3 linked regions of the Nothobranchius furzeri genome follow. The protein of the gene in region 1 purifies or fractionates together with the protein of each later gene. This does not show direct contact. Links are inferred from orthologs where the notes say so. Each region holds a gene or a part of one and is shown on either strand. Other genes may lie near its edges. The genes, in order: cdk5rap3; type 2 phosphatidylinositol 4,5-bisphosphate 4-phosphatase; ufm1.

What was found.
Region 2: the proteins of cdk5rap3 (region 1) and type 2 phosphatidylinositol 4,5-bisphosphate 4-phosphatase purify together in Homo sapiens (affinity purification with mass spectrometry; 3 studies listed by BioGRID and IntAct, counting the BioPlex papers as one, with this or other methods). This does not show direct contact. The link is inferred for Nothobranchius furzeri from reciprocal best matches to the Homo sapiens genes CDK5RAP3 and PIP4P2.
Region 3: the proteins of cdk5rap3 (region 1) and ufm1 purify together in Homo sapiens (co-immunoprecipitation; 3 studies listed by BioGRID and IntAct, with this or other methods). This does not show direct contact. The link is inferred for Nothobranchius furzeri from reciprocal best matches to the Homo sapiens genes CDK5RAP3 and UFM1.

Annotation. Positions count from the first base shown.
Region 1 is NC_091756.1:50,106,214-50,109,621, reverse strand, and holds the end of cdk5rap3 (CDK5 regulatory subunit-associated protein 3), read right to left. Parts: intron 2,262-3,408; coding exon 2,056-2,261; intron 1,170-2,055; coding exon 998-1,169; intron 780-997; coding exon 714-779; 3' UTR 652-713; downstream 1-651. UniProt on the Homo sapiens protein: Substrate adapter of E3 ligase complexes mediating ufmylation, the covalent attachment of the ubiquitin-like modifier UFM1 to substrate proteins, and which is involved in various processes, such as ribosome recycling and reticulophagy (also called ER-phagy).
Region 2 is NC_091759.1:18,778,056-18,781,809, reverse strand, and holds the start of type 2 phosphatidylinositol 4,5-bisphosphate 4-phosphatase, read right to left. Parts: upstream 2,773-3,754; coding exon 2,710-2,772; intron 2,037-2,709; coding exon 1,800-2,036; intron 1-1,799. UniProt on the Homo sapiens protein: Catalyzes the hydrolysis of phosphatidylinositol-4,5-bisphosphate (PtdIns-4,5-P2) to phosphatidylinositol-4-phosphate (PtdIns-4-P).
Region 3 is NC_091750.1:62,920,227-62,923,980, forward strand, and holds the start of ufm1 (ubiquitin-fold modifier 1), read left to right. Parts: upstream 1-1,182; 5' UTR 1,183-1,261; coding exon 1,262-1,263; intron 1,264-1,364; coding exon 1,365-1,421; intron 1,422-2,278; coding exon 2,279-2,336; intron 2,337-3,754. UniProt on the Homo sapiens protein: Ubiquitin-like modifier which can be covalently attached via an isopeptide bond to lysine residues of substrate proteins as a monomer or a lysine-linked polymer.

The sequences.
Region 1 (3,408 bases):
ATAATGATCTTAAACCCTTCATCAAGCCTGGTTTCATTAGCAGTTCCACTGAGGTTGCTGTTAAAGCTTTATCCAGCCTTTCCTCATTAAATGGCCCTCCATGACTTGCAAAATTACTAGCTGGGCCGGTTAGCCTACCCTAGCTCTAGCGAAAACACGCGCACACACAGAGCATGCGTAGAACATTCTAGTGTTAAGCTTTCATCAGCCAACGGAAAATCCCCTCCTCTCAGAACACGGAGTTATGAGTTTATTCTACAATTATTTGCCGAAAAAAAAAACTAAAACGAATTTACCAAGAGAAATAATTTAGGAACAACATATTTTGTATTTATTGTACAAATAATTGACTTAGGCAGAAGATGTGAGTTTAGCCCATCACCATAAATGTTGACATTTTTACACAACTGTTGCATCATCTTCAAGTTTTTATGAATAAAAACATAAAATATGTTGTACTAGTCATTGGTCTGGCCTGGAGTTTGGACAAAACATAAAAGCAAACTAACATTTTGTAATAATTAAAAAATATGTAAACATAAACACCATATATAAGGCCATTTATTTTACAATTGATCCAAAAGTTTGTAAATGATCAGCTGTCTTTTATATTTGTTTTATATGCATATATAAAACACAAAAATACATGAGTTGAAGTTAAATACCATTTTTATTTCTCTGTCAATCATGACAAAATATTCAGGTGAACATCACTAAATATTGACTCCCATTAGGTTGACTGGTCTGTTGTGGTATCGCTTAGAAATGTCTGCTTCAATCTGCAAAAACAAGCAAATAATCAGTCATAACAAATGATGATACTTTGTTATTATAGAAGTGACTGAGGTTGTAGTTTATTCTATATTCCTTCTTTAGGCTCCCCTCCCTCTATTTTAAGACAGATCTTGTGACATGGGGTTTTGATTTTCTGTTTTGTTTTCCCAGTGGAAAGTCCCTCCCACCCTCAGCAGTAATAAAAGTAAAAGTAATGTAATACCAGTTTCTGGAGCTCCCGGGTGCATCCTGCCAGCAGGTCAACACAAGGCTCCAGCCTGCACTGCTCCTGTAGGGCCTCCTGCCTCTTCTCAGCCATGGTAGCGGCTTTCAGCACCAGAATGTCTGCCTGCTTCAGCTTCTGTCTCAGCATTTCTGATACACGCTCAACATACCTGAACACACACGTAAAAATAATAACAAGCATAATTATTTTTTTGGAATTAGTAAAATATCGATAAGACCAAATGTAGGCAATATAAATGATAACATTTGCACATTTGTCATAGTAAAATTGTAAATATACTATGTCTATATTGCACTTTTTGAAATGTTTTCAACCACTCATAGAGCTTTTAATTACAAAGCCCATTCACAAACTGAAGGGATTATATGGAGTGGTGTCTTGCCCAAGGACACTTCAACATGTGGTGAGGAAGCCTGGATTAAACCACTAATAGGTAACCGCTTTACCCACTGATCCACTACCACCCAGTTGCAATTCACAATTTTCAGTCTTAATTTTTTTACATTTTGCTGTGAAACTTCAGTAATTAGAGTAAAATATTTTCTTAAATTTGATTTTAAAGACATTCCCTTTAAAAGTAGCACAACTGTAATGTGTAAAAGATATTTGAGATGCTTAAAAATTAAAATAAAGGTCAAACACACATGTTCATAAACACAACAACATGGGCGTAGTTTTGACTTTAGAAGTGTGTGTGTATGCGTGTGTGTGTGTGTGGTGGTGGTGGTGGTGGTGGTGGGGGGGGTTCTTTACAGTAAGTTCTAATGGGAATCGGGCTTCAACACAAGCTGTTGTTTTCTGCTTGGTCCTAGTGCTCTACCGTAATATTGTTTTTGCTCGGTAAAAAGTGCAGTGGACATAAATGTACTTTTACTATGTCCATAAATAAATATATAAAAATTAGTGTCTCAATGAATGCTGATAGATTAGTCTTTTATTACACCTCCTGCTGTAAAATGCTCCTTTAGATACATTTCCTGATGTCTTGAAGACCCAAATTCAGCTTGTAGGTGATGCAGATGCTCAGGTGATACCTGGGTGAGGCCTGGATTGTGAACAGGTGCTGCATCCGCAGAGAGGTGAGCCGACCCAGAAGGTCCTGCACCTGAGACAGCATGTCCTGGACGTGTCCTTGGGTCTGGTTCTGGATGACAGAGGGGGCCAGCTGGAACTGGCTCATAGCCACCACATCACCCTCCTCCCCCATCTCACAGATGCGCTGGGTGAGGAACGTCTCTAGCTGGGGAAAAAAAAAAAAAAAAAAAAACAATACCAGAACCACGAACAGAGTCAGGTTATTATTAAAATATTTTCATTTCAGAAGGAACAATGATCATTGTAAGATAGATCCTACATAACTGATGTCAACTGGACATCCAGGAAATACTTCCTGATTTCTACTACAATAACAGTGATGTCTGGCTCTTTAAAAAAACAGTATAGAAATAAAATAAAAATTAGTATCTTTATTTTTATCTCACTTTTTGTCTCACTTTGCTCTGGAACTGCACAGTATATCAAGAGTTCATCACCATCAAAGTTTCACTGTGAGCAAAGAAATCAAAGAGTCTCAGACTGCATGCAGATACTATATTTGACCTTCAGATGAACACTCGCTGCTCTAAATGCTAACAGCTTACGTTGATGCTAGTGGCTAAAATGCTAAAGCATGACAGAAGGAAAAGAGAGTGAGAAAAATGTGGTTTTAATAACTAAAATGTTCAAGACAAAATCCATTATAAAAGTCATATGGCTTATTGTGAGAGGACCTAATTGGTTTAATCTCTCCTGACTATGGACATAGTAAAAGTACATTTTTGTCCACTGCACTATTTACCGAGCAATAACAATATTTTGGTTGAGCACTAGGACCAAGCGGAAAACAACCGCTTGTGTTAAAGCCTGCTTCTCATTAGAACTGTCCATAAGCTCATCTACTGGCTCTGCTGATACTCGTTCCTGCCACCTGTGTACTTGACAGTTCTGCATTCCAGACATTACATAAAAGCTTCTAGGCTGCAGCTTTAAACATATGTTTGTATACTTACTGTAAATCCCCCCCCATACCCCCCCCCCCAAAAAAAATTCTAAACTACGCCCATGCTCGTGACGTTGGGTTAAAACGATTTTCTGTTTCAACCTCTGCCAAACATCTTAGAAACTGAGCAAGAGGTGGACAGTTTTTGTCTTGTTTTAGGAAGACAAAAATAATTGTTGACAAATATTAATGGTTAGAAAAGAGGCCAACACTCACCTAAACACGATTTTTACCACTGGTTAGTGAAGCAGTGAACTGACTTTATTGTTTTAAACATTTATGATTTGAGCCTCGACTAATATTAGTAAAACAAGCTGGTCTCTGTTTGACAGAACACACAGACCGATTA
Region 2 (3,754 bases), on another chromosome or scaffold:
TGAGGTAGATAAAAAGTAAAATATATGAATAAAAATCATCACAAAACTAAAATATTAGGTGAACAGAAATGACAAGTTATTGTGAAGCCATTTTCAAGCAACTGCATTGGTATCGGTTCCTGGTATCGGTTAACTTTTACCGATACCAGTATCGTATCGGTATCTGCACCGATACCAGTATCGGTATCGGTGCATCCCTATTATTAACGTATCTTTCAGAGTCGGATGGTTCCACGTTTTTTTCTGAGTTGACGCAGTGAACTGAGAGTATTAGTGATGGACTAGGACTTAATGGAGACGGGTGATTTGCTCTGGCAACCCCTGAATGGAGAAGCCGAAAGAGAAATAAGAAGGTGGCTTTGCCTTTCCGCCATGTTAAATGCCCAGTTTGCACACATTACAAGCGGCTGTTGCACTAGAGTCGAGTATAAAATATGGCTAAACTGCAAACATTTCCGCTCAAATGAGGCAACGTGTTAGCTCTATGCTAGCCTGCTAGCTAACACGGAACCCCCGCCTGCCTCACATTTTGTGACGTTGGCGTCCTCCAAGAAATAAGGACTAATGATGGAGAGGAACTTGTTGACATTTAAAACTAGGCCATTGTTATTAAGTTTGAAAATCTCCACCTCAGGATGAATTTAAAAGGTCAAGCTAGTTGTTTTATAAGGTTAAATCACGTGACTGAGTTTGATTTCCAGCCATGTTATCAAATGGGAACATCTCCAGTTATGATTATGTCCTGCTGGAAAAAAAACACCCGTTTCACCCAGAAGAATGAATCTACCGCCCGTGGCACATAAACGCCAACTTAAAGTGCTGCTATTTAACTCATCTGTTGAGAATTCATGTTTATTTTAAACTACGCCCCAAAAAAAAAAAATCACAATGTGAATTTTTTCCAGTACGTGCATTAGGGATGTCCCAATACAACTTTTTCCACTTCCGATACGATACCGATATTGCAGCCTTCACTATTGACCAATACCGATATCAATCCGATATGATATCAGCACAAATCATACATACTTTCACCTATTTCGTAGTGTGGAATGTAGAAAAGGCTTGATCAAGTGACTTTTTAATAACCTTTGGTTGCATAAATGTGAACAGCTGAGGGAAGAGACATAAGGAAAAAAACACAATATTGTTCACTGACCAACTGCTACAAGTTGTGTCTAAAGCAGGGGTATTCAATTATGGGCCTGGAGGTCCAGTATCCAGCACGCTTTAGTTTTAACTGCTTCAACACACATGATTTTAATCAGCAGGTGATTAACAGGCTTCTGCAGAGCCTGATGAGCTGCTGCACAGGTGTGTTGAAACAGAGAAACCACTAAAATGTGCTGGAAACCAGACCTCCAGTCCCAGAATTACATACCCCTGGTCTAAAGATTCAATTTCACACACTGCGAAAATCCTCATGTAATGTTTTGTGATCCCGCTTCAAATGCACATTGAGGGTGGACGTAAAAAACTTCCTCGGTTCTGTTCAATCTTTAGATGCTTGTGCATGACAAGTGTTGCACCGAGCCAAACCGTCTTTTTGGACTTTTAACAAAAATACTGCCGCATGGCCGACATCGCTCCTTGCTAGCAAACACTGTTCTGATCACGTGGACTTTGCACACTGGATCTGGGCGCTGCTGGATAGAGTTGCTGCAATGAAACTTAATGCAGAACGGACTGCTTATATTGGAGATTTTTGATGCAGTCCGATATAATCCGATATTGGGCCAATATCCGATACCAATATCGGAACGGGACATCCCTAACGTGCACCGCTAGTTTCTACTCACTGTAGCCTCGTTGCAGACTGTGCACTTGACCACATGCTGGTGCAGCTTCCCATCCAGGTTGATGATCGACTGGCAGACGCGGCAGTTGATGACAGGGACGCCGCTTGCATCGGGGCTGGCGATGGCAGTGTAGGGAGGAGGTAGCTCAGCTACAAGAAGACAAAAGGGAGAGAGGCCATTAATGACACCTCTACGTTTACATTTTTTTAAATAAAAGAAGTTATCCGAGACTCGTTTCTACTTTTAGCTTCGGGCTTTGACGTCTCCTGATGATGTCTGAAAGAGAATATGAGTAAAGATTTTCCTTCTGTGTCCACTGAGGTAAGATGACAAGATGCTCATCTATAACAACATCCAACCTAAGCCTCAGGCTCGATGGTTGTGGTCTGAAAACCAGAACAGCTCCTGGTAACAGGACACCCGATGAGCATCAGACAACAAAAAAGATTCAATCGTCACTGGAAAAATAATACATCCTTTATTATAATGACTTAAATTAGAGGCAAAAATGTGCTCTTCATGCTAACACTATCATTTTCTTTGACGTGCCATGATTAAAACATTTTTTGCATTTTCCAATTAAAGTGTTTTGATAGGAAACCAGATTTCTATGCTTCGTCTTGGTTCTTTACGCAGCATTTAAGGTGCTAAATGTCAATTCTCCAGTAAACTTTAACAAAATCAGAAAATTAGACTGAATGATGAAGTTTTCTGCATCCTTGAAAATTCCTCAGTAAGCAATCAGATGTCACACCTGACGTCATGACGTCTTTTGGCACATCCTAAACATAAACAATGACCTGAGGTTTATCTAAATAAACTACATTACCCACAATCCTTGTGTTCTTTGAATAAGCAGTTGTGTTTTAAACTCAGTTCAAATCTTAGTTCTGCAGCACAAAATTTCAACCTCCAGGTCTGAAAAAGTTAAAACAGGAGTTCTGTAACCGACCACTAGGGGGCAGCGAGTCATATCTCGGTAACATTCTTGGTAAAATGTCAAAATTTAAAGCTTAAATTAAAAATGACATTTGTATTTTTAAGCCTGTTTCTGTGGGAAATGTCACAAACAACTGAACAGCTGTAGAAAGTTTATTTTAACAACCTCAGTTTGGAGAAAAAGAGATTAGCTTGACGAGCAAACGGCCACTCAGTTGATTGCTACCATCTTTAGAAAAACTTTATTTGAATGCAGTTACCAAAAGTTTTCCTCTTTTCATGAATTACGCACGATCTTAAAAAAATCTGTAAAAAAGTATGCAACACAGAATTTTATTTTATGCTAAGCCCGCCCCTGTCCCATAGAGACCCTTGTTATTTTACTTGCTCGCTGCTCGGCATTAGCCAACAGATGTTAATAACAAAGCTTTTGTGAGAGGTTGCGGAACTATTTACAAAGACACGATGAATCATGGAGCAGCTACATCCACAAAAAAATACTGTAGAGCTGGGCGATATCTCAATATTTTTAAAATACCCATCTCATTTCAGACAAGAAACAAGATGACTCAGTAACATTCTAGAGATAGCGGATGCAGCTACCGCTAGCCACTAGCTTGCTCTATCTCTAAGCGGTAATTACATTTATTCTCGTGCATCTGCTCAATTAGTGAACCTCTGGGTCAATGTTCTGCCCTAAACTTTGCATTTGGCTTCGTGATTTTTTTTATTATTTGAGAACGATTGTTAGTGTTTCAGCTAGCCTTTTTGCAGTGAGTTCTGTTTATCCTGCTTGTGTAGAGAGACATACTAAACCAATCCCCCATGTAAATAGGAAATGGGTACGGAGAGCTGCAGTGGCCAAAATACCTCAAACGTATTGTATTTGGTTACAAGAGTGAATGTTAGGAGTTGACGTTTCATTTTGATGGGGAGTTCGGTGAGCGGGAGAAGTTGTTTTGGTCTTTGTTGTTTCACTAGGCTAGGAAACTGAACAAAACTAGCCAAAAAGAGCT
Region 3 (3,754 bases), on another chromosome or scaffold:
GTACACTGCACATCTGTAGAGGAATTACAGGAGAAGAAGTCTGTACAAACTTCAGGTGGTGTACAATGATGGGTTGAGGCTGCTGCTGAAGTTACCTCACTGGAGCAGTGCCAGCCAGTTATTCATGTACGCTGGTATTCCCACTTGTACTGCTACCCTTCGCAATCTAATGTACAGATGCATGTGTAGGCTGATGGTCTCTGGAAACGGTATTATCTCTATCTTGTCCACAACAACACGAAGCATGACTCGTTTCTATTCTAACCTTTGGAATCACTGGCGTTGTTGCCTGTATGTTTGACTGATCTTGTCGGTTTATATTGCTATTGGTTGTAATTTTATTGTATTAACTTGCTTTATTGTTCTTAATGTGTTTTTATTTTCTTGCTATTTTTTAAACTGTTTTTAATCCTCTAATCTTTATTCTTTATGATTTATCTATTTTTACTGTTCATTGTGTTATCCTTCCCATTATGGACCTTAAAGGCCCGGAATAAAGTTTCACTTTTTCACTTTTGAATAAAAAAACAGAGGGGAGAAGAATCATTTATTTAAAATGAAAACGAGCAAAAAAGAAAAAAAAAAACGATGCAAAACAATGGATTTCATCGTGACATGTCACTGTAGCTGTGTCTCAATTCAGGGTCTGCATCCTTCGAAGGACCCAGTCCGACGTTGGCTGGGTCCTCCGTCGGCCGAGTAGACCGGATGTTAACGGCTGTGAATTTCTTTTTTATTTTATTTTGTTTTTATTTTTATTTTTTAATTTTCAAAACTTTATTGAACAAGGTGAACGGCTGTGAATTTCAAGAGCATCTGGCTGCAGCCGCTCCGTCGCCTAGCAACCGTGGAACCGCTGAGCAGAAGGGAGAAGGAACTTCAAATGATGGAGCTGGAAAATTTGTTGAGCTTTTAAATAATATCCTTGGTTCTGGAGGAGTTAGAAGAGTTAGAATAGAGAATAGTTCTAGTTTTAGGAAACAAGATTGTGTTTGCGTGTCACCTTTATTCTTTACGGTAATTGTTAGTATTTTGAATGAATGCCTGTCAGTTATAGAGCGAAATAAACTTACTTCTGACTTTATAAAATCATAGATTCTTAATAAAAACTTTCTGAAAATATAACAGAAAATCACTTAAAATTATCTGCACGTAAACGCAATAAAATATTGTAATTTTACATTGATGACGTAGTTTTGGGGTCCTTCGGACTTCCGGGTTTAGGTAAACAGACTGTCAACGAAGTCGCTAGGCTTAAAAGATGTGAGTTTTGCCTTGTTTTAATGCGAAACGTTCAATTAACGTAGTTTTATTCAATCGTATCCGTATGTTGATAAATCATCCTTCATTCTTTTCGTCATTAGGTCTAAAGTAACGTTTAAAATCACCCTGACGTCGGATCCCCGGCTGCCGTACAAAGTGTAAGGACAGCTCAGCATTCCCGTTTAATGATAAATGTGTCGAAAACGTTGACCTAATTCTAACAAACATTCATTAAGGTATATTGATGTGTCCTATAAAAATATGTGCTAAAGTCACTGCTGTGTTAGCAAAAGTGATGCTGTGATTTAAAAAAAATACAGAAGAAAAGCTTCGATTCTTCACCAGTAACTCCGTAAAGACTTTTAGTTTACTAACAAAAATCTTTCTTTGAAAACACGGTACCTTGTAGTAAATGACAGATGGACTCCTACAATTTTGACAAAACAAGCAGATTTTAGGGAGTTTTTGGTTTTTGTTTCTAACTACTCGTCTCAAAGACAAGCCAAAACAGAAAGAAAATAGTTGTGACGGAACATCCTGTTGGCTCCTTCAGTTTTGTTTTAAATCATCAGTAAGCTGGAAAGTTCACCTGTGAGAAAATGCCAGTCTAAACTACATTTCTGCTAGTTTTTTTTTCCTTCTCATCCTGTATGTGCTGCTCCCTTGTCACAGCTTCTTTTATCTGCATTGCATCACTTGGTCATCACATTTGCAGCATTTAGATTTTTTAAATGAACGTTTTTTGGTTTTGCCCTAGTGTGGATCTGTTGGGTATAATCATAGAAGCTTCAAAGTGAAAGTATATGTATGTAACTCTTCCACAAATGTTTATTTATTTTTTTGTCTTTTAGTCTTTGTTTTCTTTTACTTCTTCTCATTAGCTTGGATGAAACCCACATCTGGGGGTGTTTAGATGTGCATGACTAGCAAGCAGGCTTGATTTTCAAACAAAAAGTCGCAGCAATTAGTCTTAGACAATCTTAGATTTGATATATTTATTTATTTTTTGTTGCAGGTTAAGTGTCCCAGAAAGCACACCATTCACAGCAGTTTTGAAGTTTGCAGCTGAAGAGGTAGGCCGACAGAGACAGGATGCTAGTCCATCACGTGGGTGAAGGAGACAGACAACCAGTCACACACTCACTCACTCCTATTACAGTTAACCATTTAACCTAACATGCACCTGCGTGATCTGTTGGAGGAAACTGAAGCACACGAAGAAAACCCACCCATGCATGGGGAGAACATGCTAACTCTGCATGTCCAGGTGTTAACCCTGCAGCCTTTTTGTTGTGCTACAGTGCTGCAAACTGAGCTGCCATGCTAATTATTAGCCTCTTGCTAATTAGTAAGTAACAACCGTGGTCCAGCCACAAATGTTTATCCTAAATGATGTCAAGATGCTTCTTTTGTTGCATAGAGTTTTAGTTCTCTAAATAAACCATAAGATGCATGGACTTGTTTTAAAGCCACTTGGATCAATTTCTTACACAGTTGTTGGCAATTATGGAGACGGGATATCTTGCACAGAAAATACAATTTATGTGTGTTTGTATTTTTTATTGTTTCAAATCAGTTTCAGCCACAAAGCGAGTTATCAATTACATAATAGAATTACATTTATCATTTATGCCCCACAATCAGAAGAAAATAGAGTTTAGTTAATCCCTGTAACAGAAGATCTAATCAGAATCTTATCTTTGTCAGCAATGGCATTTTACTAATTGAAGCTTAATGTTTGACTTCCTGTATAAATTATAGTGTTATTTTAAACAGGATGTTCCTAAATCTTTCATTTTTACACATCAGTTAGTCAAAATCTCAAGTTGAAAAATGAAAAATGTGGTGAGTTTCTAACCCTAAAAAGCCTGTAACTTTATGTTGTTGTTGTTATTGTTTGTGTAGATTCATCACTGTTTTAATGACCAATTATGTAAAAAGCAGCTCTGACCGACTAACTGACGTTTGTAAATCCAACCTGGTAATTTAGCAGACAGTAGTTTGGATTGTAGCTGGATTTTTAGCCACATCTGCTGACTTCCATCTCATTTATTTAACGAAACGCTACCTCTTAACTTATTTGTCACTGAAAAGGATTTTTAACTTCTCCTTATTTGATTTTGTGTGAGTAAACACGCAGCAGCTCGGCGTATGAAAGGCGTCTAATGGGAGCTGAAGCTGCTGACGTGCTGTTTGTACTCAGAGCTGGTGGGGTGTTAATTTGAGTCTGTTAGAAAGCAGCGCAGTGACGGAACATCATTTCACTGTGGATGTCGCTTGCTTTCAGCAAAACAGACTTAGTCCCACTGAGCAAAACGGGAATAAGACTGGAGAACTGTTCAAAAGTAAACGGTTTGCAGCGAGTTGCTGTGGGAGAACTGCTGTTTAGTCCAAGCTGCTCATAGATTTTAGAGTAAATAAGTGATTCTGTTTAACCTATTATTAGATGTCGGGTCTTTTGAGTTGTGTTGCTTTTTCTCCCTAAAAAACA